Neodiprion lecontei: one gene and its partners. The protein of the gene in region 1 purifies or fractionates together with the protein of each later gene. This does not show direct contact. Links are inferred from orthologs where the notes say so. Each region holds a gene or a part of one and is shown on either strand. Other genes may lie near its edges. The genes, in order: UBX domain-containing protein 7, E3 ubiquitin-protein ligase Topors, ubiquitin recognition factor in ER-associated degradation protein 1 and cullin-2.

Region 1 (5,931 bases):
GGGCTCGAAAATAAATGAAGAAAATGAAACAAATAAATAGATCGACTATCGTCCTTGTTCAAAATGTTTAAAGTTAATCCGCGTTCCGCAATGCTTTATGGGAAGTCCCCGCGCTTACCAAACCAGAGCAGACGACTTATTTAATTCACGATAAGAAAGCTAGTAGCCGTATTTTTCCAACTTTACTCAAGCGCGATGCTTTCGCGCCTCGGCTCAATTTATTAATTAATAGGAATTTTTCAACGTCACGTGCTTTGTCATTAACTAAGAACTTATTCTTATTATGGAATTTAAATGAGAGTGACTTTTCAGTGAGCGAAATTCAATCGCCGCACGCTTCGTTGATCAGTAAACTAACTATGGCGGTTCGGATATCCCATTTATTCCGTAATAGATTTAAACAATTTTTTAAAACCTATAGTACAAATTCAGCTGAGATAAGCAAAGCTAAGGATCCTGAAGTGACGGAGCAAGTGAAGGAACGGCTACTAGATCGTTGGGGTAAGAACAGGTCATGTTAATTTTTGTTCGAGGTTAAGTTAGGTTAGGTATTTACAGGTTATATTATATTTATATAAATTTGACGAAGCAATTCACAGAATATAGGGAGATCGGGTGTTAGCTTAGAGTATGCGAACTTGTTCGATAATCATTCGATAATTGTCACCTGTTTTATTTTCATTGTAGCAAAATATTGGAAGAATCTCTTCATTGACTACAGAGATGTGGCTAAGGATGTTGCACAAGGATGTAAGGATCGGCCTATTCGTGCTTCAATCTATTTCTCTCGTAAGTGAAAAATCATATTTCTTAATTTCCCGCAGTGAAACCTGCTGGAATGAGAGACAACTTAGTTTTTTTTTCTTTATCTTTATGATCTTAGATGTATCACTATACTTCTTTGTAAAGGATTCGCAGCTCATAAAAATACATGTTTAAGCCCACTATAGCTGCTCATCATTAGTGCAGATAACACTAATTATTGCAGTGAATCAAACCAAAAATACAAAAGAAAAATATATTTATTTAGAGTCAGAGGAGCCAGTAAATGTTCTGTATTCGGTATGAAATTTTCGTGTGAATTGGTTTATGTTTCAGTTCTAGGCAGTGTATACTACTTTTCACGACACAACCCTAGTCCAGATTCGTACAGAAACATGTTGATAGAAGAATCAAACAAGATGATGATGGTTGGAGAACCAATTCGGAATCGTCAAAGTGTAAGGCATTTGAAATCGATAGAACAGTGCTTCAATGAAGGGATCATACGCAGGTTGAGCTTGGGGATTGTTTCTTTTATATGGTTGGATAACTACGATAAAGAATGTGCTCACTACAAAGCAACATGTTCGTATCTCAAACCACAGTATTTAGGATTTCATCACAGAATAGTTGACATTGGTTTCATGGATAAGTGGTGGCTACTGGAGGACAAAATGACTGATTTTGATATAAATGAAGAGGAATTTAAAAACTTCTCCACTTCGCCAGATAAAATCGGCTCATAATGAGAATATCGAATATTATTGACGGATAAAATTACAAATATTAATTATTATAATAGTATTTATACATATGTACATATAGAAGGTTTATTCATTGAATAAATGTGCCTTCACACACAAGTATGGTAAATTTTTTTAAACTTATATATGCACTATTGATACTTTGGGATCGAAAGCTGGAATTTATTAGAGAATTATATTACAAGATGATGGAAAAAGAACGTGGCGGAATACTGCGCTTGAAAAAGATTCGAATGCTTCGAATTCATTAATTTCTGATAAAGTTGTAAATAATTTACTATTATTGGCCTATTCTGTTAGATCTAATCAAAAACTCGCGTGAAGGTAGTTGAAATGAAAACGTTATTTCAAGATATTTTCAATGAATTGTCCAACTCTCGTCAAAAGTCTCATCTAATTTCATGAACGGTGTAAAAAATCCCAACAGAGTTACCTTCTTATGAGAATATTCATGGTCCATGATCGATTGTGGCAACGGTTGCGCAGCGGGAGATAGAGAGAGGAGAGGAAAGCTGAAGACAAAATAGCTAATGCCGGTTGACAGCCGCAGTGATCCGTGGCTGTTATAAAATTCGGTAAAAGTTCAAGAATTCAAAATCTGGATTCGAAATCGCATCGATCCGCGACCGTGAAACGATACCGGATTTAATATTCAAGGGAAGCGTTCTTGTACCACCGAAATTTCAAACAAACACGAAGACGATTTTGTTTTCTCATACAACAATCGGCGAATAACAGATATAGAATCCAAAACTAGAGCTTGATGTTGTAACAGGATGGATCGCGAACTGATTGAAAAATTCATCGAAGTCACAGGTTAGCCCAAAAGCGAACAGTAATAATTGAAATATCAATTTCATTATACTCAGTTCTATATTTTGCCGTTAACACAAATTCAATGCTTCAATGTGACTGTACGAACAGTTGAATCGGTAAACAAAGAATGCAGGAGTCCGTTTCTCTGTTTTACTTCACATTGAAATGTTTATTTCCAAAGAATTGTATTACAGTAATATTCTACCCATTTTACTAGCCTTACCAGCATAACACATTTACCATGGGTTTTATTTCAATTCACCCTAGCTGACCTTGATCTCATCTGACCTAATCTTGAGTTTCCCAAGTTTTCCTCACTTTGATTCATTCATCTAACCTAACTTTATCCAATACTGCCCTTTTTGTGTTAACCTAACCTAATTTGGTTTCAAATTATTTTCTTCCCTCTCTTTCATGAGAACATTTTTTCCAAATTCCAGGATCCAGCGAGGCTGTCGCCAGACAGTACCTCGTGGTGGCTGACGGCAATGTAGAGACTGCTATTAGCCTGATGTTTGAAGGTGGCGGAGCAGAGGCAGTAGCAGACGTAGACGGTCAAACTGAACCCCCAGAACCAGAGATCAGGCCGCCAATTCTACCTACTCGAGAAGTGTTGGTACCAACACAGCCCGTCTGTGCGTTCCCCAGAGCATCGAACAGTGTGTTTGATAGATTTAGGGACTTTGCGGTAGAAACACGTAAGGAACAAGAGGCTCTCGATAACCGGGACGGCTTTTTATCCTTATAAATCGGCGTCGGCTTACCTTATTTCATCGTACTTTTTAATTACCAAAAAGTTTATGCAAGATATGTTTGTAATACGCGATGCAAATATCATCTTGATGCTGAGAATCGGCGTGAAACATCAATTTTTAGAGTTTCCTTTTGAGTTACATGGATTCAAGTGAGTTTCAAGCTAATATGCGATGTTTAAATTGAATGAATTAACTGATGCCAGAACGCCAGGAGGAGGAAATGGCGCGGAGGGTAACAGGGGTGAAAAAAATGTCACCAAGGAAGTCCAAGCGCCTGGAAGACCTCTTCAGACCCCCTTACGACATCATGTTTTTGGGATCATTCATCGAGGCTAGGGAACATGCGAAGCTCATAAACCGATGGCTTCTTGTTAATGTACAAAATCCACTTGAATTCTCATGCCAAATACTTAACAGAGACCTGTGGCCCAATGAGCAGATCAGGGATATGGTCAGGGACCATTTCGTTCTGTGGCAGGTAATTATATCGATCGCATACTTATTATTAGGAAATTTAACTCATACTTGACCTTCCATCGGTAACAGAGAAAAAGAAATATTATATATATGTAGATCCAGTAACGGCCTTTAATTTTCTACTCATGTGTAACTAGCGTTTGCCATATCCTCAGGTCATATCTAACACATCTGACGGTCAACGCTTCATCGACTTCTACAATGTCACTGATTACCCTTATCTAGCTGTTCTGGACCCAAGAACAGGCGAGTGTGTCCGGACATACGACCGGTTTACGGTAGAACATCTAGTTTCAGGGCTAGGTGACATGTTGAGCAATCATCTATCCCCGGAAACTGCACCGCAGGTTCCTTCTACCGCTACAGACGACTGGCTATCATGCCCTGCAGGTTCCATGGTCCGGCGGTGCGATGTGCCTTCCGAATCTTCGGCAAGTGTTCGTATGATGAAATACTTTGGTGATCATGTTTTCTTTATGCTGCGAAAGGCAAGAAAGAAATTGATAATTTTCGTAAATTTTAATTTTTGATCTTAGGGTATGACCCCAGAAAGCAAAAAAGCCAGAGGAATTCGAGACACGGCCGTGGAATCAGGTAACAAATTAACTACACCAAGGCATCAATGAAATACTCTGTTGTCCCATCATAATAAGCCATATTGCAATCTTCCAGCTAACAATGAACGTGTCGATGCTGGGCCCAGCGCGAGTAACGTAATCCTTCCTCGTAGTGGCGTTAGTATCTTAGGAAAACGGTCGCGAACGGAGGAATTATCAAAGACGAAAAAGCACGAAATTCTACATTCTTTATTACAGAAAAAGGTACGTCTAACACTAGTTGCAAATCAGCTTACCCCCACATTCTCTCTGAACCTCTTTTTACTTTTTCCTATCTTGTCCCTTTGATTTCTTACCTCTAAAATTTGAAATATATGATTGCAGAACGGTGAACCGAGTAATTCTGAGCCCAACTCAACCGTTGTAAATTCAAGTAAGTATAAATAACTTGATTTTTCACCTCTTGCATAATTTGATCCACAAATTATTGAGTCTTCGACTATTTGTTATGATCGTTCAACAGATGACGAGCCGTCCTTGCGTTTATGTCTGCGACTGCCAAATGGGGGCAAAGAAACTATCTCTATGGGAGCTAGCGACACGATAAAAGTAAGTCTTCAAAGAGTATAACCTCGTTTTGATTTTTTATCATTAGAATACAGTGGAAAAACTCAAAATACGATCCATCGCGAAGTTCTTATATCATGACATTTCTACTGCTTTTTTTTTTTCCACAGAGCTTCCTGGGCAGAATGGAAACTATGGGTTATCCGCCTTCGGAGCACACGTACCTAGTTCCATTTCCTAGGACAAATATTGGGGCTCTTTCTCAACAAACTCGACTGTCAGAAACTATTCTGTTTCCTTCAAATACCGTTTTTATAACAAAAATATAATTTGATCCCGTAATGTGGTAATTCAAGATTTGAGGGGAAAAAAATCGCAAATGATACTCCCTTGCCAGCGGTCGTTTGTATTTATTGAAAAGAAAAAAGGAAAAAAATTCGTCTCGTATCTGTAATACTTGCGCTTTTAAATTTTTCGTTACTCTTTATTCAGTTTATACATATAACTGAAAAGTTCTAGACACTTTTAACCGTTCTTGATTAACTTTTAGCAATGTTCAATATACCAAAAGAAGAATCGCCTCGTGTAAATAATTTCATGATCAAGGCTGAACAAAGTTAACTGATTCTCAATAATTGCAGATCTACTAATTGTTTTAATCATGTCTGAAACCAATCCAAATAAAAACAACCAATCGAATTTTATTCCATTGGATCTACATTTAATTTGGCGTTAGTCCAACTTTTACTTTCAATCCTTATTCGTATGCGATTTCAATTGGTAAATTTTTATAAGTACTAAAGTGAACCATTTATATATTACTTAAGAAAATGCAAAGCCGAAAATTGGTAAAACTGAACACTTGTACTTTATCAGTAATGAGCATATAAATCGAAAACAACTGTATAATTTGCAAAAATTCGTATTTGTAATTCATTTTGTTCCCGAATTATACAAAATAACAGTGAAATGTTTCACGAACAAATACTATGTCATAGGCTCAATTAGTATGTCACGTCGTAACGTACGTAAAAAGTATAATTGACGAATATATATTATATCTAATTAAGCCTAGTGAAAATGATTCGAACACTAATTTGAAATCGTACAAAATTGAAATACAACAAAGTCAATACTGCCGTAAGCCTCCACGTCGCATCATCGGCTGTGACATTCTATTCGGAGGGGTAATAGATATGTCCAAATAATCGCCGATCGTGAACCTGAGGAAAA
Region 2 (7,085 bases), on another chromosome or scaffold:
GTTTTACATTAAGTGGTTAACTTATTTTTTAGTGTTTTGTTTAAGACTTGAATACAGTATTATAGCAAAGGCAGCAGTAATTAACTTAAATACAGGAAAACTTCGCGCAAAAACCTGTGATTGAAAATTCATCCTCATGTGGTATCCACTCAGCCACACCACAGCTACGTCCGTGAGCGCGCGTTTGCTCGGTATGTTTATGGAGCTTGCTTGGAATTCGCTGATGCTTCTCTGGAAGATTCAGTTCGAGAAAAAAAAAAAATTTCCCCCAACCACTTGCCCATTGCACATTTTGCATAAATGTTATCGAGCTGGCTTCGTATATTTTTCCATAGACTGCGTGCACAAATATTCGAGAATACCAGGCGTCACATATTTTCATATCAATAAAAAAATAATATGTATTAAAAAAAAAAAAAAAAGTATTCGGACTGGGAATAGTTAACTAATTTGGTTCAGCGTCCGCTAATTGATTCCAAGATTTATCAAATCTGGAGATACTTTTATTCGCTGACATTCATAACTGAAACAAAAAAAATCCCAATTCTTGCATTCCTGGAAACATCTGTGCGAGCGGGGACAAGGATGCGATTGGCAACCACTTGCTCGAGCAGCCGAGTGTATCTATATATACACGATTGTGGGCCACCTTCGGTGCATGGCCGCTTGATGTCAGGTCGGAAATGGGCCACCTTCGGTGCGTGGCCGCCTAGGTGTCACGTCGACGCTCCAACTTAGCTGGTATCACGAAAAGCCGAGCGTTGGAGATCTCCCTACTCATCTCTGCTAGTAGGGTGGGGGAATGACTCAGATAATGAGGCAAAACCGTGGTTCTCGTCTTCGCCGTCTGCAGCGCTGCCCCCTCGGGGTGAGCCAATTTTTTCGGAATCGACAATCCTGAATAACACTCAAAAATGAAGAAAGATGCGAATAAAAAATGATTGAGATGTTTACTAGCATTCCATGGCGGGCGTGATAATTGTTTTATTTTAACGAAATCCTCAAATGTTTAAGTCAATAAAATCCATAAACATCAAGCGAGGGCTCACAACTTTTGAGACAGTTTTAGATCTTGTGGAGATGATCCACCGTTTACACACTTTACACTGAGTTATGAACTGTCAAAAACTTCGATGCGCAGATTATTTTATCGGTATATATCTATATCTATCTAAATATAGAGGAACTAAAAAATAGGGAAAAAACGCGTACAATTTTTTAGTATACGAGCAGCGGTGAGTGTCAAGGGGCTGACCACGGTTTTATATACAGGTCTGGAAACTCCTATGCTGGGAGCCACGATTATTCGTGTCGCTTAACGAGTGCAAATTTCGATTCTAGCGGCACCACCAATTGTCGCTGCGGTCTAGTTACCAGGATAACAATAATCTCAATAAATACGATGAGTGAGCGTGAGTGAGCGAATACTCATATACATATATGCGAATACCACGGCCTTGTCTGGACCCCCGGCCCCGCCAACGCTGTTGATAAGATCGCAACGAACCTAGTGGCGACTAGTGAACACAGAAATTGCTTCAATAAGCGACATACCCCCTCCAATGGAGTTTCCAGACCTGTATGTAAGACCGTGGGGCTGACCGTGCTCACGGTGCTCACGATCGAATGTTAATACTGCGTTTCCATCGAACTTCAAATCGGTTGACTATCATGATGTGAGGACTGAAGTATGAAGAATCCACTAGATTTAGGGAATTCCTTAAATCATGGGAATTCTTAAAAGTCCATTGTTTGCATTGTTTTTAATTAAACGGTTGACATATTGCTTTATCGGCATGCATGTATGTAAATATGAATACAGTGAAATGCATAAATGCTTTAATCTTTCGGCTATCTTGTTTCGGTCTGAAACAAAATACGAGTTCAATTCCACACGAATCATGTGACCACGACTGGCAGTGCAGCTGGAGCACGGATGGTTGGCTGGTTAGTAATAACCAGTTAACGCCCTTGGTACAGCTGCGAGCTTTATGATCAAATTAGCCGATGATGGCAGTCGGTGCCTGCGTTGAGCCCTTTCATATCTCTGCTACTGATTGTAGTTTTAATTGTCAACGTAACTTGTCGCATTTCCTTCGGTGGTAGGCAACATTTTAACGGTGAGCGGATGTCATGTGATGCGTTACCTTTCGGCTATTCCACAGTTTTAATCACTTAACTTTTCCTCAGTCAAAGCTACTACTCAAGGGCAGCTTGATTGGGAGTTGAAATTTTCGTGGATTTAATTACGGCTTTGAATATTTATATTCTCTGCCTCGGAATCCAAAAGATTCTGCCTGTATTGATATAAGTAGGCAGTTACGCGTATAGTATCAACTGTGCTGTATACAATACCCTTTGTACATTACAGTATAAAGAGAGTAATCGTAAACAATATCTGTAGATATTTGCATTTCCATCATCCAGTACTGCGTATTTTTCAAATCAAGTAATTTATTGCTGGACCTATCCACACTTGGGTCATAATATCTTTAATTGTGTGCATAATACAGGAAAAGGTAATGCAAGGACCAATGGACCACGAAAAGAATTGACGCAAAATGGATGAAGAAATAGAAAGCATACGTGCGGCCGCCGCTGCTATTCCAAAGGGTCCGCTAAAGACGGAAGAAATATCTCCAAGTAGCCCAGACAATGAACCAAGCGAGCGAAGTGACGGCACCACGTCTCCTCCACCTAATTGCAGCATTTGCTTGGGCAAGCTCGTCAACAAATCTTTCACCGACAGCTGCTTGCATCAGTTTTGTTTCAGCTGCTTGTTAGAGTGGTCGAAAATAAAAACAGAATGCCCTCTGTGTAAACAAACTTTCAAATCCATCATACATAATGTTAGATCCGAGGGCGACTATGATCAATATCATGTTCCCCGTCAGTTTGTCTCACTGTCTGCGTCACAAATGGCTGCAACAGTGGATGTTCATTTTGATCTGGTCAGCAGTATAAACCTGCCGAGGGAAACACATGGATTTAGTTACCGGTAAGTTAGCTAAAGAGAGATTCTTCATTCTTGGTTGTCGGTTACTGGCAATGGCAGCTAATAATTTTGAAATCACAATCAAGCGTTCTGCACAGAAAAAACTTCATGTTCCTACAATATATTTAATATGGATATGATATGCTGCCAAAACAATAAGGCCTGGTTCCCGCTAGAAAACTATTTACATGTCGTTCAAGAACGTATTTATTTGAATGCTAGAAATCGTTTTTATTGACAACCTTCTGTTTTAGTACAACAATGACACCTAATCATCGATACCGAAATATCTTAAATCCCGAACAAGTTATGAGGAATGAACAACTACCTGCTGTTACGTCACTAGTTACTAGAGAGGAACGAAGACTGCGACGTACTAATCCTATTGACTATCGGCGCAATGTGTATCGTTTTGGACATTGGGCGACATCTCTACCAGACATATTTGGAAACTTTAGGGAATGCAGTGCTGAATACTATCGGTAAGTTACACTGCTTATGTTTCGCATTTTACTTGTATTATTTAAAATGAATTATTACAGTTTCAATTTTGAATTCCTACTTTTTCCTACCATTTATTTCCATGACTTCAAATCTGAAGATTATTTTAATTATTTAGATACAAAGTCCAAAATACTTAGTTTTGGAATTTTATTAAATTTCAATGTTTACCAGGATACTAAGACATGTGTTGTATTGATCTATTTTACAGGCGAAACCCAAACCAATTGAATCGATTGATTCCTTGGCTGAATCGCGAACTGCAAGTATTGCTTAACAACAATGCTCCGCAAATAAGTTACGTGATGCGTGTTATCATGGAATCTATCACACGGCATGACTTGAGAAGTTCCGACTTTCGAGACACAGTTCGTCCCTACTTTGCCATGCACACCGAGCACTTTGTCCATGAGCTACTCAACTACGCGCAGACCAGTTTTGACTTGATTGGTTATGATCAATATGTTACCTATGTTTCAAATCGTGGTTAGTATATTTGATTAAGGTTGCATGTTGCAAAATTGTCCGCCAATTAATGTCACCGGTTCATACCATTCAAATTCTATCTCTTCTTCCAACAAAATTTATACATTCTATAGTCACATAACTAAAAAGATTTTCAACTGAACAATTTTACTGTCGCATTCTTACCCAATTGATGTAGCTTTTTGTTGGACTTTAAAATCCGCTACATATCTGTAGCTATGGAAAACATCTCTTTGGTCACTGGATTATAGTCTTTCACGTCTTTCGGTGAATATCAAGGTGTAAAATTATTTTGAATAATAATGGCCATTTGGACTTCCGTATCAGAATTTAACTTGGCGAACAGAATAACCGATGAGGTCAAATTGTATACAATTTTCGTCGGAGAATAGTTGTGGAAATACCTGAATTGATTTTGGACATCCTCATATGTCATATGTGTCGCAGGTTTGTCCAACGAATATGTCCCTGTCGTATCATCACCCAGTTCTAGTAGCAGCAGCATATCTACTGATTCAGATGTTCAAGTTGTTGAAGAAACTATCGATGCAAGTCGGATGAATATTGAGATGCTCGGAATAGGTCCGCATACAGTCGAGATGCCTGGTATGTAGTCTAATACTAAGTACATACATAAGTATCTACCCTTGACTAACACAGTCTTTGGGAAACTCAATAATAATACATTTTTTCCTTGCCCATGCTTGCATATATTTTGTGATTTCATGTAATACTTTACTCTAATCTTGCATTTCCTCTCTCTCAAGGTCCAAGTACAGTAGCCGAAGCACTCCGAGAAACTGCACAAACTTCTAATATTGTATTGACAATTTCGTCAAGCTCATCAGGAATATCAGATAATGAATGTGAAGTTGTGGGGTATGTGAAGCCTCGGCATGAAAGAACACCAGAAGTTATCGATCTATTATCATCGGATGCTGACACAGTGAATGTGCCTGATGCTCCCAATTTAGACTATAGGTGAGTCTTGTGTCTCTTACGCCAATTGCTTAGAATTTTATATGAAATTTCCATTTTCTTAATGCTGAATATCTGCCTCGCTGATCATTGATACAATTTTTTAGCGAGCATACTAGACATAACTGTCAAGTTGTGACAAAACAATGTCCACCATTTGAAGATTGTATAGATCGGTCTCCTTTTGATTCGCCGAGTGTATCAACCTTAAGCGAAGTTAACGAGGCTACGACTTCTACGGATAGGAAAAGAAGCTCAACTCAAAATACTCTGGCATCCTTAAAACGATTTTCTGACACAACGACGTCGGAGAGTGATGATATCGATTCTAATCGGGATTATACTCCCTACAGCGGTAACGGATCAAAGAACAAAACAAAGAAGTCAATCATTGCCACAAGTCCTGTACATGGTCAAAAGTACAAGCGGGGTACGAATATGTTTGTTCGAATAAAGCGTCGTGTTAAAGCATTGATTTCAAGTAGCAGCGAATCTGAAGGCCGGATCATAGATGGAATGTTCAAACCCGTGTCAATATCACCAGAAAGTGACAAGAGAGAATATTCTTCAAGTTGGAATGATTCTAGTCCAGACCGGCACAAAAAACGTCAGGAAACAAAAGGTAAATCCAAATTAATGAAATCGGCAATATCCAATATGATAACAGTTCGTAAAGACTTAGTTAAAAAGGAAGAATGGTGCAGTGAAAATTGTGCAGAAAGCGATGCCTCTCAACGAAGCACCAGTATTCCCAAACATAGATCTTGTAGAAACAAGAAATGTGGATCGAAGAGATATCGTTCGATCAAGGATTCAGATTCCGAGCGAGAAGTAAAGAAGCGTGAAAGCGACGAATATAATTCTTTTGAAGACAATGGGATGTCAAGTAAAAAACTAACAGAAGCTAATTTTAAAGTCGACTACAGCACGACAGATTCTGAGAGGAATGTGTTGAATGGTCGCTCAAGTAGCTATTGCAGCGCACGGTCGAGTAAAGCATATGTTGGTAAGAAAAAATCAAAACACAAGGATAGACGAAAAGAAAAGGGAAGTCGCAAATCCGACAGCAAGACTGTTGCTGCTACTGTCACAGATTCATTCCAGGCCGATGACAATTGCACACCAAGTGTTTCAACGGCATCTGTAACTTCATCCATTAGAAGTGACACACTTCTTTCATCTAGATATGCCAGTTCTAAAAAACGTTCGAGTTCTAAGGAGAGACGTAGATCCCACAAAAAATACAAGGAATCCAGAAAGTCTCATAAACGATCTAAGAGCGAATCTAAATCAAGGTCCAAGAAAAAGAAACGCCGTATTAGATCGTCCTCCAGCTCTGACTCGGAATAAAACATGTATTAACAAATTTGTTCATTAACGTTCAGTTCTCTGTTCGTGCGCGGCAAGATTTAACTCTCACAAATCATGTCTAGATGAAATATCTTGTTGATAATAATTCCCAACGCTAGCGTGCGCTAGCAAAAATAGGACCTGCATAATTCATAGATATACGTTATGGAAATAATTGATTGAAGGGTGATCATAGAATACACAATTCACGAGAGTAATTGAACGTTTCTTACACCTATGTTCTATTTTTATTAAAGGCCCCCCCCCCACCCTCTTCTTTTTTATGCAGTAAATACGGACGAAAAAAAAAAAAAATACAACGATAACACGTTTTCGAATTGAATCATTTTTTTGCTCAGAATTGAATGAAAGAATTCCGTGAATCATAAAAAAATGTACGTTAAATTTTCGATACGTCAAAAAAATTTCTCACACTATTTCAAAGTCCTATTTGAAATATGTTTGAGCACACTTTTAGTACGTCGGAGCAACTTTTCTAATTAATTTTATTCCTGTTTTTTCGAGCCTTCCCGAATTCATTGTCAGTTTTGGCCTGTTAGTGATCCGTGGCCTTAAAGTTCAGTAGTAAACCATGCGTTTAAACTGTCGTAATTTCGTAAACGTACGTTAGTAATATTGAGTATAAGTAATGGCAATATTCAATACTTCTATTTTTCTAAGTGATACAAAAGTGATAAGCTCCCTGCTTTATTAATCGATGACGTGCGGCGACGAGACAGAATTATACAAACAGAAACGCATTCTCTTGAAGGAT
Region 3 (4,880 bases), on another chromosome or scaffold:
AAATTCTCCTATATCTTAGAATGGCTTTATGTTGTAAAAAGGGAGAAATTAAAATTATTTAATGATAAAAAAATTTGAGGTACTGAGTTTAAAAGATCAATGAAAAAAACCACTTTAAAATGATCAAAAACTATGCGAATACGAGTACATCGGGATCTTCCGATTAATAGCACGATCAAAAAAAAAAAAAACCTTGTCCATAGTGCGGTTACGGTATGGTACTATTGGTTTCTTATATTCATTCATTGAAATTGTGGGATTCACGTAAGTTGTATAAATGACAATAATATTTACGAAAAGAAATTTTAGATTCTATTGTCATTTTGACTTGGCTTTTTTGGCTGGTTCAAATGCTGTTACTGCGTCTCATCTAGGTGGTGAGAGTGTAAATTGAACATGAATGAACCCACAGAGTAAAAGGAAAGAATAATCTTCCAAGGAGTCTCAATTTAACTGCCTCGACTATCATAAGAGGTAACACAAGGATTATTACATTTATTAACACACTTGTTAATTGTATAAGAACGAAAAATATTTGCATACCAATATATCGTTCATAAAAAATAAATACCCCAGCATGTCTGACCGCCAGAAGTTATACCGCTGTAGGCGTGTTTTACCCAGGTACCATATCTGTCGAACTGTCGACTATCATTTGACTAATTACAGCCGTGATAATTTCAACAAGTGAAAAGTTTGACTTAGAGATGGCAAAAAGTCGGCAGAATGGTGATTGAGATGTGATAAGTACTGTCAATTAGCCAAAAGTCAAAGCTGTATCATCCATATGAATGTTCTCAAAAACGTCTAGATCAAGACGATGCCAAAACAAAAATTAGATATCGTATGGAATTCATCATATCGAGTGTCCATTACAAAAAACTTGGTAAATATCGAAATTTCAAAGATTCCTTTGAGGATATTTTTTATTGCGTCAGGTCAGTTTACAGTCGAGTTTCACACTATTGATTGTAAATTAACTACCTCGTGAACATGTATGAACGTATGGTTGGCATGTAGTGAACTATTGACTTCAAACACGTTCTCATAATCAGTCTTCATCTTTTGCTGACAATAAGTCAAATATGATTCGTTACGTGGGTAGCAAATAATGATCTCCCGTTGTCATAATGCTCCGATATACGTCAACAAATCAGGATCTGCTCCTACTGTGTCTGAAGTTAAGTAAACCGCAATACTTCATTATCAAACATCTTGAAAACTTGACTTCTACAAAGTTACTAAATTTCAAAATAGTGATTGTTCTCTCAATGTTTCGTGATTTTGTTTTGTCATTTATCTATTCTAAACTGTGTCTACATTGTGCTTATTTGTTTTTGCTATACATTACTCAATTTCCTTGATTTAGCAAAAGACTGGTATATTACTACGCTGTTATTTTAACGTGACAAATATTAATTACATTACTGATTAAATCCAACTCAGCATGTGGTAAAAGAGTAAATTTATACCATGATTGCAGACTATTATTCAGAATGCAGCTGTATCTTTTTTTTTTACTGCTCTCAGACTTTCTCACGCTATTTATCGACAAATTACATGGTTCATCCATGAAAAGCTGTATTTTTTTCTAAGAAGCGCGGAGAATATAAAAATGGCCTGTATGCAATATTGGATCTGGTAAGAGGTAGGCCGATTTTTTCTATTTTTACGGTAATCCATGCCAATAATAAAATAAAAACCTTTTATCAACTCATAATAAGATCACATTTTCGTTGGAATTTTTCTTTGTGCTGTACCTCTAAGGTGTGTGCTGATCTTTTAAATCCACGCGTATTTCTTATACCCTTTTATCAAACCCGCGCGCCAACATAATTCTTTACTGTTCCGAGCAACCCTTTTGGTTCTCAGCACAAGTGCGAAAGGTTCGCGCTCTTGCTCATTCGTGTAATCCGTGGCTATAATACGGAAAGACTTGGCTTGTAGGAGTCGGACCCATGAACCTGTTACGTTATCAGTGCTATTCTGGTAGTTATTGTGAAAACTACGATCTTTTCCTTCTTTTCTAGCTGCAAACAAAGCCGAACAGTCTACGTCGATCGTTTTCCTTGTATCTAGACTCCGTGTCCACGGTTGTTGCGTTCCGAAAAACGGACCCTGCGCAATGCGATTCCATCTTACGTCCTCGTTGCTCGGAGAATTTGTGCGACGCTTTGTCTCTCTTTAACACTGTCGCATTTCCCAACTTTAACTCTGCAATGAAATTTGAAACATGACTTGGCTCATATCGATGTCTGACTCGCATGTCGTGCGACTTCAGGGTTATATATTTTTTGCAGAAATTTGCTCTTGATTATTGTATTTATAATAGTTAGGGTACAAAAAGAAGCTCGTCAAAATGGTGAGATCTTTTCTGTTGTATGAAACACCTAAATCACGTAACTAAGTAATAAAAATACGAATGCTTTACTGTACAATGAGGTTATGTTTATACAAATAAAAATTAGACATTCAACTTTCAGTTTGGGTTTAACATGTTTCCCGACATACCGAGGCATTTTAATACCCAATACAAATGTTTTTCCGTCTCGATGATCCCTGGGACCGAGCGGCAAGATGTGGAACGCGGCGGAAAAAGTAAGCTGACGATTGCCAGTGTTCTTTGTATCGCTGTCATAATTGACATTTGTTATATTTTGGCTTCTATTCTTTTCAGTCATCATGCCTCCTTCGGCACTTGACCAATTGACGAGACTCAATATCGTTTATCCAATGCTTTTCAAACTAACTAACAAAAAATCCAATCGAATTACACACTGCGGTGTTTTGGAGTTTGTCGCAGATGAGGGGAAAGTGTATTTGCCATATTGGGTATGTATTGAAGTTATAAAAATTAAATTTTACTGGAGTTTATACAAATGAGCAAGCAAAATCGCACAGTCTTGCTTGAAAACACGAGGTGCATCAAGTTTTGCTCGTTGACTTGCTAAGTCAATGTATCGTTCACAATTGATGCCATCTAGATTCTAAAAAATTTGTCAATTCTCGAGTCGAAAAAACTTTATATCCAGTTTCTTAATCCTCAAGCTGTTCGTCTCAGATCCAGGTTAAAAATTTATGCAAACAAGTACAAATCACTCTCTTTAAACTGTGTGATTGCATTTAATAATGTGGCGTTTGGGGGAAATATATTCATGCCATTCAGTCACACAAGTTCAAATCTGTTCAGACTGCTATAGTTTCATTTACGTATAGTAAGACGAGAGATTAAATATGTGCCTATATTCAAAGTTCTGAAGGACTTTTCAGTAATATTGAGCTGGGTATATTTAATTTATTTTTATTAAGGAGCTGACCATATTTTTATGATTTGTAGATGATGCACAACCTTTTATTGGAAGAGGGTGAAATATTGAATATTGAAAGCGTAATGCTTCCAGTCGCTACATTTTCGAGATTCCAACCGCAGTCTGAAGACTTTTTAGACATTACGAATCCTGGAGCAGTCTTAGAAAATGGTCTGAGAAGTTTTGCCTGTCTTACGACTGGGGATATTATTGCAATAAAGTATAATCAAAGGATATATGAAATGTGTGTATTGGAGACAAGGCCTGGCCCAGCAGTCAGTATTATCGAATGCGATATGAATGTTGAATTCGCGCCACCGGTCGGTTACAAAGAGCCAGAAAGAGTGATAAAACCCCAAGAAGAAACAATAGACCCCGTCGATATGATGCCCGCTCCGCTAGGATTCGTTGCCTTTAAAGGACAGGGCAATAGATTGGATGGAAAGAAACGTAAAGATTCTTCGCTGCCTGAACTAAGCTCTGGCAAACCAATATACGTCAGGGGAATACCGGATTATGATTATAAAATCGGAACGCTGAAATTTTTACGGACTACAAAGCCGGTTAATAATAAAGAGGTGGGAATTGCTTTATCATTCATTGTATTTTGTAAAAAAATTACTTCAATGTATAGGAATGAAAGTAAAACTAAAGTATTTTTGCAGAGTAAAGACGTAGACGAATTCAAGGCGTTCACTGGTGAAGGTTTTTCTTTGCGAAAATCGAGAAAATAGCGTGTGATAATAAAGAGTGAGGAAAGGAAAAATGAAATTATGACTGTGAAATTTATTTATCTATATACTCCTATTAATTTTTGAAGAAACTGTTTATAGATAAAGTACCGTTTCTATAACTTTTACTACATCTGTAACTTGTATATAGTTTCGGACATAGTACAGAAAGCATGTGTATTATAATTGGGTTTGCCAGAAGAAAACAATTTTCGAATTTCCACTCATTACGTCCATTAAATCCGATTTACACCATTGAGTCCATGTTTAATATGTTTAATTTCTTAATAAAAATTATCAGAAGTAGCTTAAAGAAGCACCGTGAACCGAAACGTGTCGTGAATTTGCGCCATTCTATTTACGTCACTGTTCAGTTTTCCAGTAATTTTCCAGCATAATAACAAAATTTTCCGGGAACCCAGCTGAATCAGCTATGATCGAATCGTGCTATACTAGGTAATATTAGATTTAATTGGCTTTAATTAATCGATGTATTTTTAATATCAATCAACTCCCAATTGAAAACCGGTAAAGTCAGTCTAAGATAATCGGAATCTATAACTTTTTTTCAGCTCTAATTATTTCAATCCATTAATTAAGAAAGGTGTACAAACATACGAAATTTATACATTTTACGAATCATCGGTGGTATGAAATGCCCATAATACTAGAGTAAAAAGCTATGGAGCTTTCATTTGGAGTGATTTGAAACAGATTTCAAGTGAGCACGTAATGTTTGTGTAAGAATACAAGTTTTTATTTAGTGTAAAAATGTTGTCATTCGTCAAATGAGAGAAATTGAAACTGAAGGGTTATGACAGAATTAAAATTTTTTCCACGT
Region 4 (7,367 bases), on another chromosome or scaffold:
TGTAATGGAAAAACTTGAAAAAGCAAAAGAAAGACCGGTTCAAAAACAACAGAGAAGAGTGTTTCCGCTAAGATTCCCGAATGAGCAACCAATTAGGCCCGAGCAATTAGGACCAGTTACAAAATAATAGTAATGTCAAGCAAAAATATCCTGTAAATGTATTGTACAGGAAAAATAAAAAGGGATGGTTCCAACGAAATGAGTTCACTAAACACGCTCAATACCCAAATATTGTTTTCCCTGACAAAAAACTTGCGGTCATTAGTGAATTGCTGAAATCAGACATAACACAATTCATTTGACTGATATAAGGCAAGATGATTACAGAATACTATGAACCAATTGTTTCTCAAAAAAGTGTAATAAATCATTTTGTTTATTATTTTTTTTTCTTTTCATTTTGCTTAACCATACAGTTTAATAAAGAATGTTGATTTACGAATTTTGCCTGAATCACTTCAATCCATACGCGTCTTCAGGTGTCGTATGGTAACCTTGTCCTTCTCGCTGAAAAGAAAAGTGTAGCATTAGTAAATGGCTTCAGTATTGCTAGAATGCCAGATTTTTCTCACCACTTCATCAGAATGTTTAGTAAAATTTCAACTAGCAGCTTTTATTTGTAGATATACATATGTGTATATATATATATATATATACACATATATATATACATGTCGACATAGCTTCAACTTGAAAATTTTTTTTTATCACATTCTGTGCAATACATTACTTACATAATATAGACGATTGCACCCCATCCAGAAATAGCGTCACGATCACAAGCGTTGACCAAAGCCTGGCTAACAGTTTCAAAAAGATCATCAGGTTCCAAATTAGGCTCATAAAGGACCTCGCACATTCCATACAACTGCTCTGTACACGTTCCACCAACTACAAAGTCCTCTGGCTCGTTCGGGCAGCCAATCAAGTCCATGTTGCAGACAAATGGCTCAAAGGTGACAGGGTCTAGGCCAGCTACAATCGGTTCGACAAAGTATGGACCAAATCGCTTTTCATACAGTAAATTAGAGATCATGGAGCTAAAAGTTTTGGGATGAATCTTCCTGTCCTCCTTGAGCTCGTACAAGTTCAATCTGAATCTAAGTCTCTCCATGACAGTAATGGTATCTGTGGCTAGACCAGGCAGTCCCAAGTATAAATGTGGACCCATTTCAAATATCTTATCAAAGTCGCATGATATCGTTTGAGCTTGTACCCCAAATCTACGATCCGCAGCGATGGCGACGCAGTTTTTGCCTTTCATCGCTATGATAGCACCTCCGTTGTATGCCAAGATACTCTAAAACAATTGATATGAAGTTATAAAATTTCAGATACCCTGTAAGCTCAGAAATTTCTCAACATTAATGGGAATGTAAGGTACGTTAATTCATTACAGAATGGTTATAGTTTCTGTCACACAAATATGCAGTGTCATCTGATGCACGGTTTGACATAAACCTAACCTAAAAATAAAACTAAACACTGCATACGATAGAATCTTGCAGTGATTAAAAAGAATTATCTGTTTAATCAAATGACTTATGACTTATTGGTTTTATCGGAATTCTTACCATTTCTAAGGAATATCTTTGGCCTGGTTGTTGGGAATGCTCAGGACGCTGTTTCGTTCAGCAATCGTGCCGCCTCAGCAACTCGCAATCACAAACTAACTGATCTGGTGAGACCCATTTTACATCGTAATTTGTAGCCGCGGTACTTGACTCTGGTGGTGATTTGAGGAACGAATGCCTCACTACATTTCAGGGCATCCCGTACTTTGTGGAAAAACTTTCTAGACACCCCGCGCCCCTAGTTTTGGATTAACTGGGAAGAAAAAAATAATGGCCGTGTAATGTTATTGAAAAGTTTAAGGTAGATTATTTGGCTGTACATGTTGATTGGAAATGAATGAGTGGTTCGATTAGTTAAGGAATTAACCCAACACCGTTCCGCTGTATTGATACGTATGTAAGACGCGCAAGTTATAAGATTCGACGAACTGGCTCCCCAGATTCCAGAATCACGCATTTCAAATGTCATTTATTTTGCAACAAGGGGATGACTTGTCCACTCATATGAAATTTCACTATATTTTCAAAATTATAATCGCTGCTATATCGCGTTGCTTGAAATTCTGTTCTATTCGCGTACCCGAACTTCAAGCTTTCCTTTCGATCAAACCCTTCTATTTATATCAAACAACTATGTTTTTTGGTTACCTTGATAATCCATTACTCATACGGATATATTGGAAACTTCCAACGGCCAAGGACCTTTAAATTCCGAAAATCCGTTTGCCAATTGAGAATAGATGAAAATTCTCATTTCTTCTTCAATTTTCTGTTTGTCTACAATGGGAAAAACTAACGCATGAAATTATTTGAGACGTATGTAACCTTGAATTCCTTTCATCTCCATTGATTCTGATTCAATAACAGCTGTAAGTATAAATTATTCTCTCATTTAAGAGAAATCTTTATCACAGCAGAAATTTTTCAAAATTCTCATATAACAATATGTCGCAAAATGCGACGCTCTATTTGTCAAATGTACACATATGCTTAATCACTTTGAAGAAAAAATTTTCAGTCATAAAAACGGTTATACATATAGAAAGCTTGTGTATTTAGATACATTTGTTTTAATGTGACAGTACTTGTTGGTGAGCTAGCATATATATCAAGCTAAGACAGATGTAGATCAGGATTGTTTAAAGTAATTCATTGTTATGGTTTGAAGTATAAAATGAGATATGTCACTGATGCTTGAAACATGGAGGAAAGCAGCGATGACTCTGCACTTGCGTGTAGTTTATAGCTATTATGTTTTGACCTCGCAACTTGGCTCACGAAATGAAAACATAGGACTTTTAGACATGAACGGCATCGAGACACTATACAGTTTTCTTTTCATTTCCTGTATTTTTGCTCTGCTTAGAGTTTGAATTCATAAACATAATTGTGTATTTATACAGCAGGTACTTTGTTCGAATATTGACAAAATAGTTAATAGTAAAACTGCGTTCTCACCTTCGAATACCTCGTTTTATATGATCCACCACGGCATTATTCTCATTTTTAGATATCTCGCAGCTGAAGCTGTCATCTGCCATTTGTAATCCCGATACTTAGCATAAAAGAATTTCCTTGAGAAACATCCTGATATTATTGAACCTTGGAAAAGGTAAGCGGAAATAATAAAGAAGAATGTCGCTGAAACCAAAACGGGTAGACTTCTCTCAAACCTGGGATATTCTCCAACAAACTGTCAAAGGAGTCATCACGTTAGCCGATGTCCCCAGATCGACATGGAATGACAGATTTACGTACGTACATTTATATCTAAAATTTAGAACCAAGTATCAATTCGGCTTTGCATATTGCATAACAAATCTTTTCAACAGCGATGTGTATTCCCTGTGTGTTGCTTACCCTGAACCACTTGCCGATAGACTATATGATGAAACCAAGCACTTTCTCGACGATCATGTGTCAGAACTTTTGTTGGGGGTCTCCAAACAAGGGGACGCAAGTCTTCTGCAAGCATATCACAGTGCATGGACAGAGTATTCACAGGGAATCGATTACCTTCATCAACTCTATCTCTACCTCAATCAGCAACACATTAAAAAGCAAAAGACAACAGAGGCAGAAATAATATACGGGGCATCGTGCGCTGCCGCAGCAGATTACCAAGAGCAAATGGAGATCGGAGAACTTGGGCTGGATATTTGGAAACGTAAGATGATTACTCCCTTGAAGGAATCTTTGGTATCACTCTTACTAGCAGGAATTCATGGCGACCGATTGGGAAAAGCTCGACATGCTACCACTGACGTTATCTGTGGGGTCATTCAAAGTTTTGTTCGTGTGGAAGAATACAAAAAGAAAGGCCAGTTAGATGTACGTACAATAAACATCTCTTGTTTTATTAGAATTTATTTCAGCTTTTTCGCGATTGCTAACAATATCATATTGTTGGAAAGAATAAATAATAGCCGGTGTTGTTCTAGTCTTTGCAAAGCTAAAGTTGTTTCATACCTGTATCATTACCGACAATAATAGTCGTGCAAAAGCATTTTACATTCCTTCTACATGTTCGTGAAACTAATTTATATTCAAAAGTATTTTTCAATGAGATCCAAATTTTTGCAAAGTAAATATTCGCCGTTTTTCGTCCCAGTTATAAATTCAGTAAATATTCTTCTTTTCTTCACGTATCGTATCCTTGTAGTTGTATCAGCAAATTTTTGAAGAACCTTTCCTCGAAGATAGTGGAAATTTTTACGCAAGAGAAGCATCCGAGCTGCTCCAAAAGTCCGATGTATCTTATTACATGGAACAAGTGAGCTGGAGGTTTAGTCAGGAAGAACTACGCTGCCAAAAATTCCTTCATAGTAGTTCAGCTCCAAAGGTGAAGCACGTATTAATAAATAAGTTGAAACTGATGTTCACAACACGTCTCTTTAATAATATTAGATTACTTTCAATAATAATATTCAATTGGTAATGATTTCTAAAGGTGCGACAGTGCTGTCAGGAGAAAATGGTTGCCGCGCACTTGTCATGGTTACACACCGAAGCCGATGTGATGATTGAAAATGAGCGTAGAAGGGATCTCAGTTTTCTTTATCCTTTGCTGAGGCCATTGCCATCAGGCCTGGCGCCGCTTATTCGAAAACTTACAGCGCATATCACTCAGCAAGGCTTGAGAGCTATCGGAACTCTCCAAGGTGACAATGTGAGCATTTCCAAAGCGATCAAAGGTTGACATACATTCCGAGTAAAAAGTCAACAGCGCAAGTTTTCATCAGTCAATATTATTCACGATTTATGATACTAAGATCTTCTATTTTCATTCATTTAGGTTCACACGCAATTCGTGGAAAGCATGCTGGACGTCCACACCAAATACTATGAGCTCATTAAGGCTGTATTTAAAGGTGATCAAGCTTTCATTAGCGCCCTAGATAAGGCCTGTTCAGCCGTCGTTAACCATCAGCCTGCTTCTCGTCAGCCAGCACGTGCTGCCGAACTGGTAAATTTTCCCAACGCATTCCAAACGTGATTTAGGGACTTGTCTTGTGTATCCAGATGTAAAACTAATAGGCATTTTTTTAGTTGGCCAAGTACTGTGACTCCCTGCTGAAAAAATCATCCCGAGGAACAACAGAAGGCGACGTGGAGGAGAAATTGGCCCGGTCGATAACAGTTTTCAAGTACGTAGACGACAAGGACGTGTTCCAGAAGTTTTACGCTCGAATGCTCGCCAAGCGGTTAATCCATCAACAGTCGCAGTCAATGGATGCGGAGGAAGCTATGATAGACCGGTTAAAACAAGCATGTGGATATGAATTCACAAATAAATTGCACCGTATGTTTACCGACATGTCTGTCTCCGCTGATCTAAATACCAAGTTTTCATCCAATCTGAGGGAACGCGAAGGTCAGGGCCAAAAACAACTCGGAATCGGATTCGGAGTCTATGTTCTTCAGGCCGGTGCCTGGCCGCTCGGTCTTCCTCCCGCTCCCGGTCCTTTTCACGTTCCGCAGCAGCTAGAGCAGTCCATTCAGGCTTTCGAGACCTTTTACCACGCTCAATTCAGTGGGCGTAAGCTCACCTGGCTGCACCCTCTTTGCCAGGGTGAACTGAAGCTGAATTACTTGAAAAGGCCGTATCTGGTTACCGTACAAACTTATCAAATGGCGCTACTCCTGTTGTTCGAACAATGCGATACGTTGCCTTGCAAGGAGGCTGCCATGTCCCTTGGTGTGTCTCAGGAACAGCTCGAGAAACACGTAGTCAGCTTGATAGACTGTAAACTTTTGAAGAAATCACCCGATGGCGAACTTGGCGAGGAGACGACACTCATGCTCAACTTGGACTACTCGAATAAACGGACGAAGTTCCGGGTCACAGCCGCTCTTCAACGGGAGGGACCCCAAGATGCAGAAACCACTCACCGCAGCGTCGATCACGATCGTAAGCTTTACCTCCAGGCTGCCATCGTACGTATAATGAAGAGTCGGAAACTCCTGCGACATAATCAACTTGTGCAAGAGGTAAGATTTGATGCGTTGAATAGAGTCGTTGTAAAAAAAAATTCGTAAAACAAATATCAAATCATTGACGTTGGTTTGCCTTTGGTGGATGATTATTATTTTTATGAGAACAATATTCTAATTACAAGAAAAATCTAACTCGTACTAATTCGTTACCGCTACAATGGGTTACAATATTGAAATGTTTTTATCTGAACAACAATGACAATAACTCTTATTAATAACATGGACAATCATTCCAACAACTGAACAGAAGATTAAAGTTTGTCAAAGCAGCAAATAATCTACATATATTTTATTGTTACAGGTTCTTGGTCAGTCGAAAATTACTTTTGCTCCATCAATTGGAATGATCAAAAAATGCATCGAGGCTCTGATTGACAAACAATATATCGAGCGTACGGCGAACAGTTCGGACGAATATTCTTACGTTGCGTAACCTAGCTCCAATCCACCTTGCTAATTTATTTCAAGTAATAAGATACTCCCGTATGTCTTGCGTACTACGGCGCAACGTAAAGCGATTCATTGTCAGCAGGAGCAAGTAACTATGTGATCATCACTCTCTCTCTGTTACACAAGAATCATCTTGCATTGTAATCGCACGTCAGTTATCTGCCAAGGAAAATGAGATTCAGCCCAGTTAATGCAGCTGAATTGTAACAATGAAACAGGGCCAGGGAGTAACGTAAGAAACTTAACTACTCCTCAACCGATTAAAAGTAAATTAATTGATTAGGTAAAATGTAATATATACGCAACCAATAAAGATGCCGTTATTATTTTATCATCGGTCTAATGATTTCGGTAACAGATTCATTCTTTTTTTGTTGCTCCTGTACAAAGTGCTTCTGCAAGAGACAGAATATTCATATCCATGCCTGGTCTCAAAATTCAGTAATAGACGGTGAGGCAGAGCATAAGTCCGCCTATTCATGTATATTCATACTTATATTTATCAGTTGATCTTTGTTTTAACCTTTTTAATTTGTTTTCTAATTATTAATTGAAGGCGACTTTGTGCTGCACGTACGAAATGAAATTTCTCACTGTACATTTAAGAAGTCAAATCACACAATGCTTATAATGCTAAATAAATTAGTAATCGCTATTTTAACGCGTATACAAATTTAATAATGTAAGATTTTTCAAATCTTTACATATTGTACTAATCTTATCTCAGCCAATCGTGATTAATATCATTGTGACCGTTACAGTCATCATCTAATTATTCCACACCTTGGGTTAGTGAAAAGTTCTGATCAGTTTAATTATTATCTCGCTCTTGTAATCGGAGTCGAG

What was found.
Region 2: the proteins of UBX domain-containing protein 7 (region 1) and E3 ubiquitin-protein ligase Topors purify together in Homo sapiens (affinity purification with mass spectrometry; 4 studies listed by BioGRID and IntAct, with this or other methods). This does not show direct contact. The link is inferred for Neodiprion lecontei from reciprocal best matches to the Homo sapiens genes UBXN7 and TOPORS.
Region 3: the proteins of UBX domain-containing protein 7 (region 1) and ubiquitin recognition factor in ER-associated degradation protein 1 purify together in Homo sapiens (affinity purification with mass spectrometry; 3 studies listed by BioGRID and IntAct, with this or other methods). This does not show direct contact. The link is inferred for Neodiprion lecontei from reciprocal best matches to the Homo sapiens genes UBXN7 and UFD1.
Region 4: the proteins of UBX domain-containing protein 7 (region 1) and cullin-2 purify together in Homo sapiens (affinity purification with mass spectrometry; 6 studies listed by BioGRID and IntAct, with this or other methods). This does not show direct contact. The link is inferred for Neodiprion lecontei from reciprocal best matches to the Homo sapiens genes UBXN7 and CUL2.

What each region holds. Positions count from the first base shown.
Region 1 is NC_060264.1:30,478,622-30,484,552, forward strand, and holds UBX domain-containing protein 7, read left to right. Parts: upstream 1-1,988; 5' UTR 1,989-2,302; coding exon 2,303-2,342; intron 2,343-2,782; coding exon 2,783-3,040; intron 3,041-3,300; coding exon 3,301-3,575; intron 3,576-3,729; coding exon 3,730-4,011; intron 4,012-4,110; coding exon 4,111-4,168; intron 4,169-4,246; coding exon 4,247-4,395; intron 4,396-4,515; coding exon 4,516-4,564; intron 4,565-4,654; coding exon 4,655-4,740; intron 4,741-4,868; coding exon 4,869-5,027; 3' UTR 5,028-5,423; downstream 5,424-5,931. Other genes in the region: mitochondrial import inner membrane translocase subunit Tim29, read left to right, coding at 360-501, 688-789, 1,099-1,508; histone deacetylase complex subunit SAP18, read right to left, coding at 5,828-5,921. UniProt on the Homo sapiens protein: Ubiquitin-binding adapter that links a subset of NEDD8-associated cullin ring ligases (CRLs) to the segregase VCP/p97, to regulate turnover of their ubiquitination substrates.
Region 2 is NC_060260.1:41,193,973-41,201,057, forward strand, and holds E3 ubiquitin-protein ligase Topors, read left to right. Parts: upstream 1-1,957; 5' UTR 1,958-2,120; intron 2,121-2,209; exon of another isoform or gene 2,210-2,311; intron 2,312-2,513; 5' UTR 2,514-2,561; coding exon 2,562-2,998; intron 2,999-3,249; coding exon 3,250-3,477; intron 3,478-3,707; coding exon 3,708-3,982; intron 3,983-4,429; coding exon 4,430-4,588; intron 4,589-4,749; coding exon 4,750-4,963; intron 4,964-5,067; coding exon 5,068-6,310; 3' UTR 6,311-6,567; downstream 6,568-7,085. UniProt on the Homo sapiens protein: Functions as an E3 ubiquitin-protein ligase and as an E3 SUMO1-protein ligase. Probable tumor suppressor involved in cell growth, cell proliferation and apoptosis that regulates p53/TP53 stability through ubiquitin-dependent degradation.
Region 3 is NC_060262.1:24,099,244-24,104,123, forward strand, and holds ubiquitin recognition factor in ER-associated degradation protein 1, read left to right. Parts: upstream 1-1,806; 5' UTR 1,807-2,359; coding exon 2,360-2,362; intron 2,363-2,483; coding exon 2,484-2,598; intron 2,599-2,677; coding exon 2,678-2,832; intron 2,833-3,337; coding exon 3,338-3,886; intron 3,887-3,973; coding exon 3,974-4,042; 3' UTR 4,043-4,355; downstream 4,356-4,880. UniProt on the Homo sapiens protein: Essential component of the ubiquitin-dependent proteolytic pathway which degrades ubiquitin fusion proteins.
Region 4 is NC_060263.1:14,614,418-14,621,784, forward strand, and holds cullin-2, read left to right. Parts: upstream 1-1,738; 5' UTR 1,739-1,875; exon of another isoform or gene 1,876-1,967; intron 1,968-1,995; exon of another isoform or gene 1,996-2,443; intron 2,444-2,683; exon of another isoform or gene 2,684-2,980; intron 2,981-3,084; 5' UTR 3,085-3,209; coding exon 3,210-3,328; intron 3,329-3,406; coding exon 3,407-3,905; intron 3,906-4,236; coding exon 4,237-4,416; intron 4,417-4,524; coding exon 4,525-4,743; intron 4,744-4,869; coding exon 4,870-5,040; intron 5,041-5,123; coding exon 5,124-6,065; intron 6,066-6,372; coding exon 6,373-6,504; 3' UTR 6,505-6,852; downstream 6,853-7,367. Other genes in the region: uncharacterized protein LOC107224358, read left to right, coding at 1-127; proteasome subunit beta type-3, read right to left, coding at 459-507, 735-1,300, 1,575-1,577.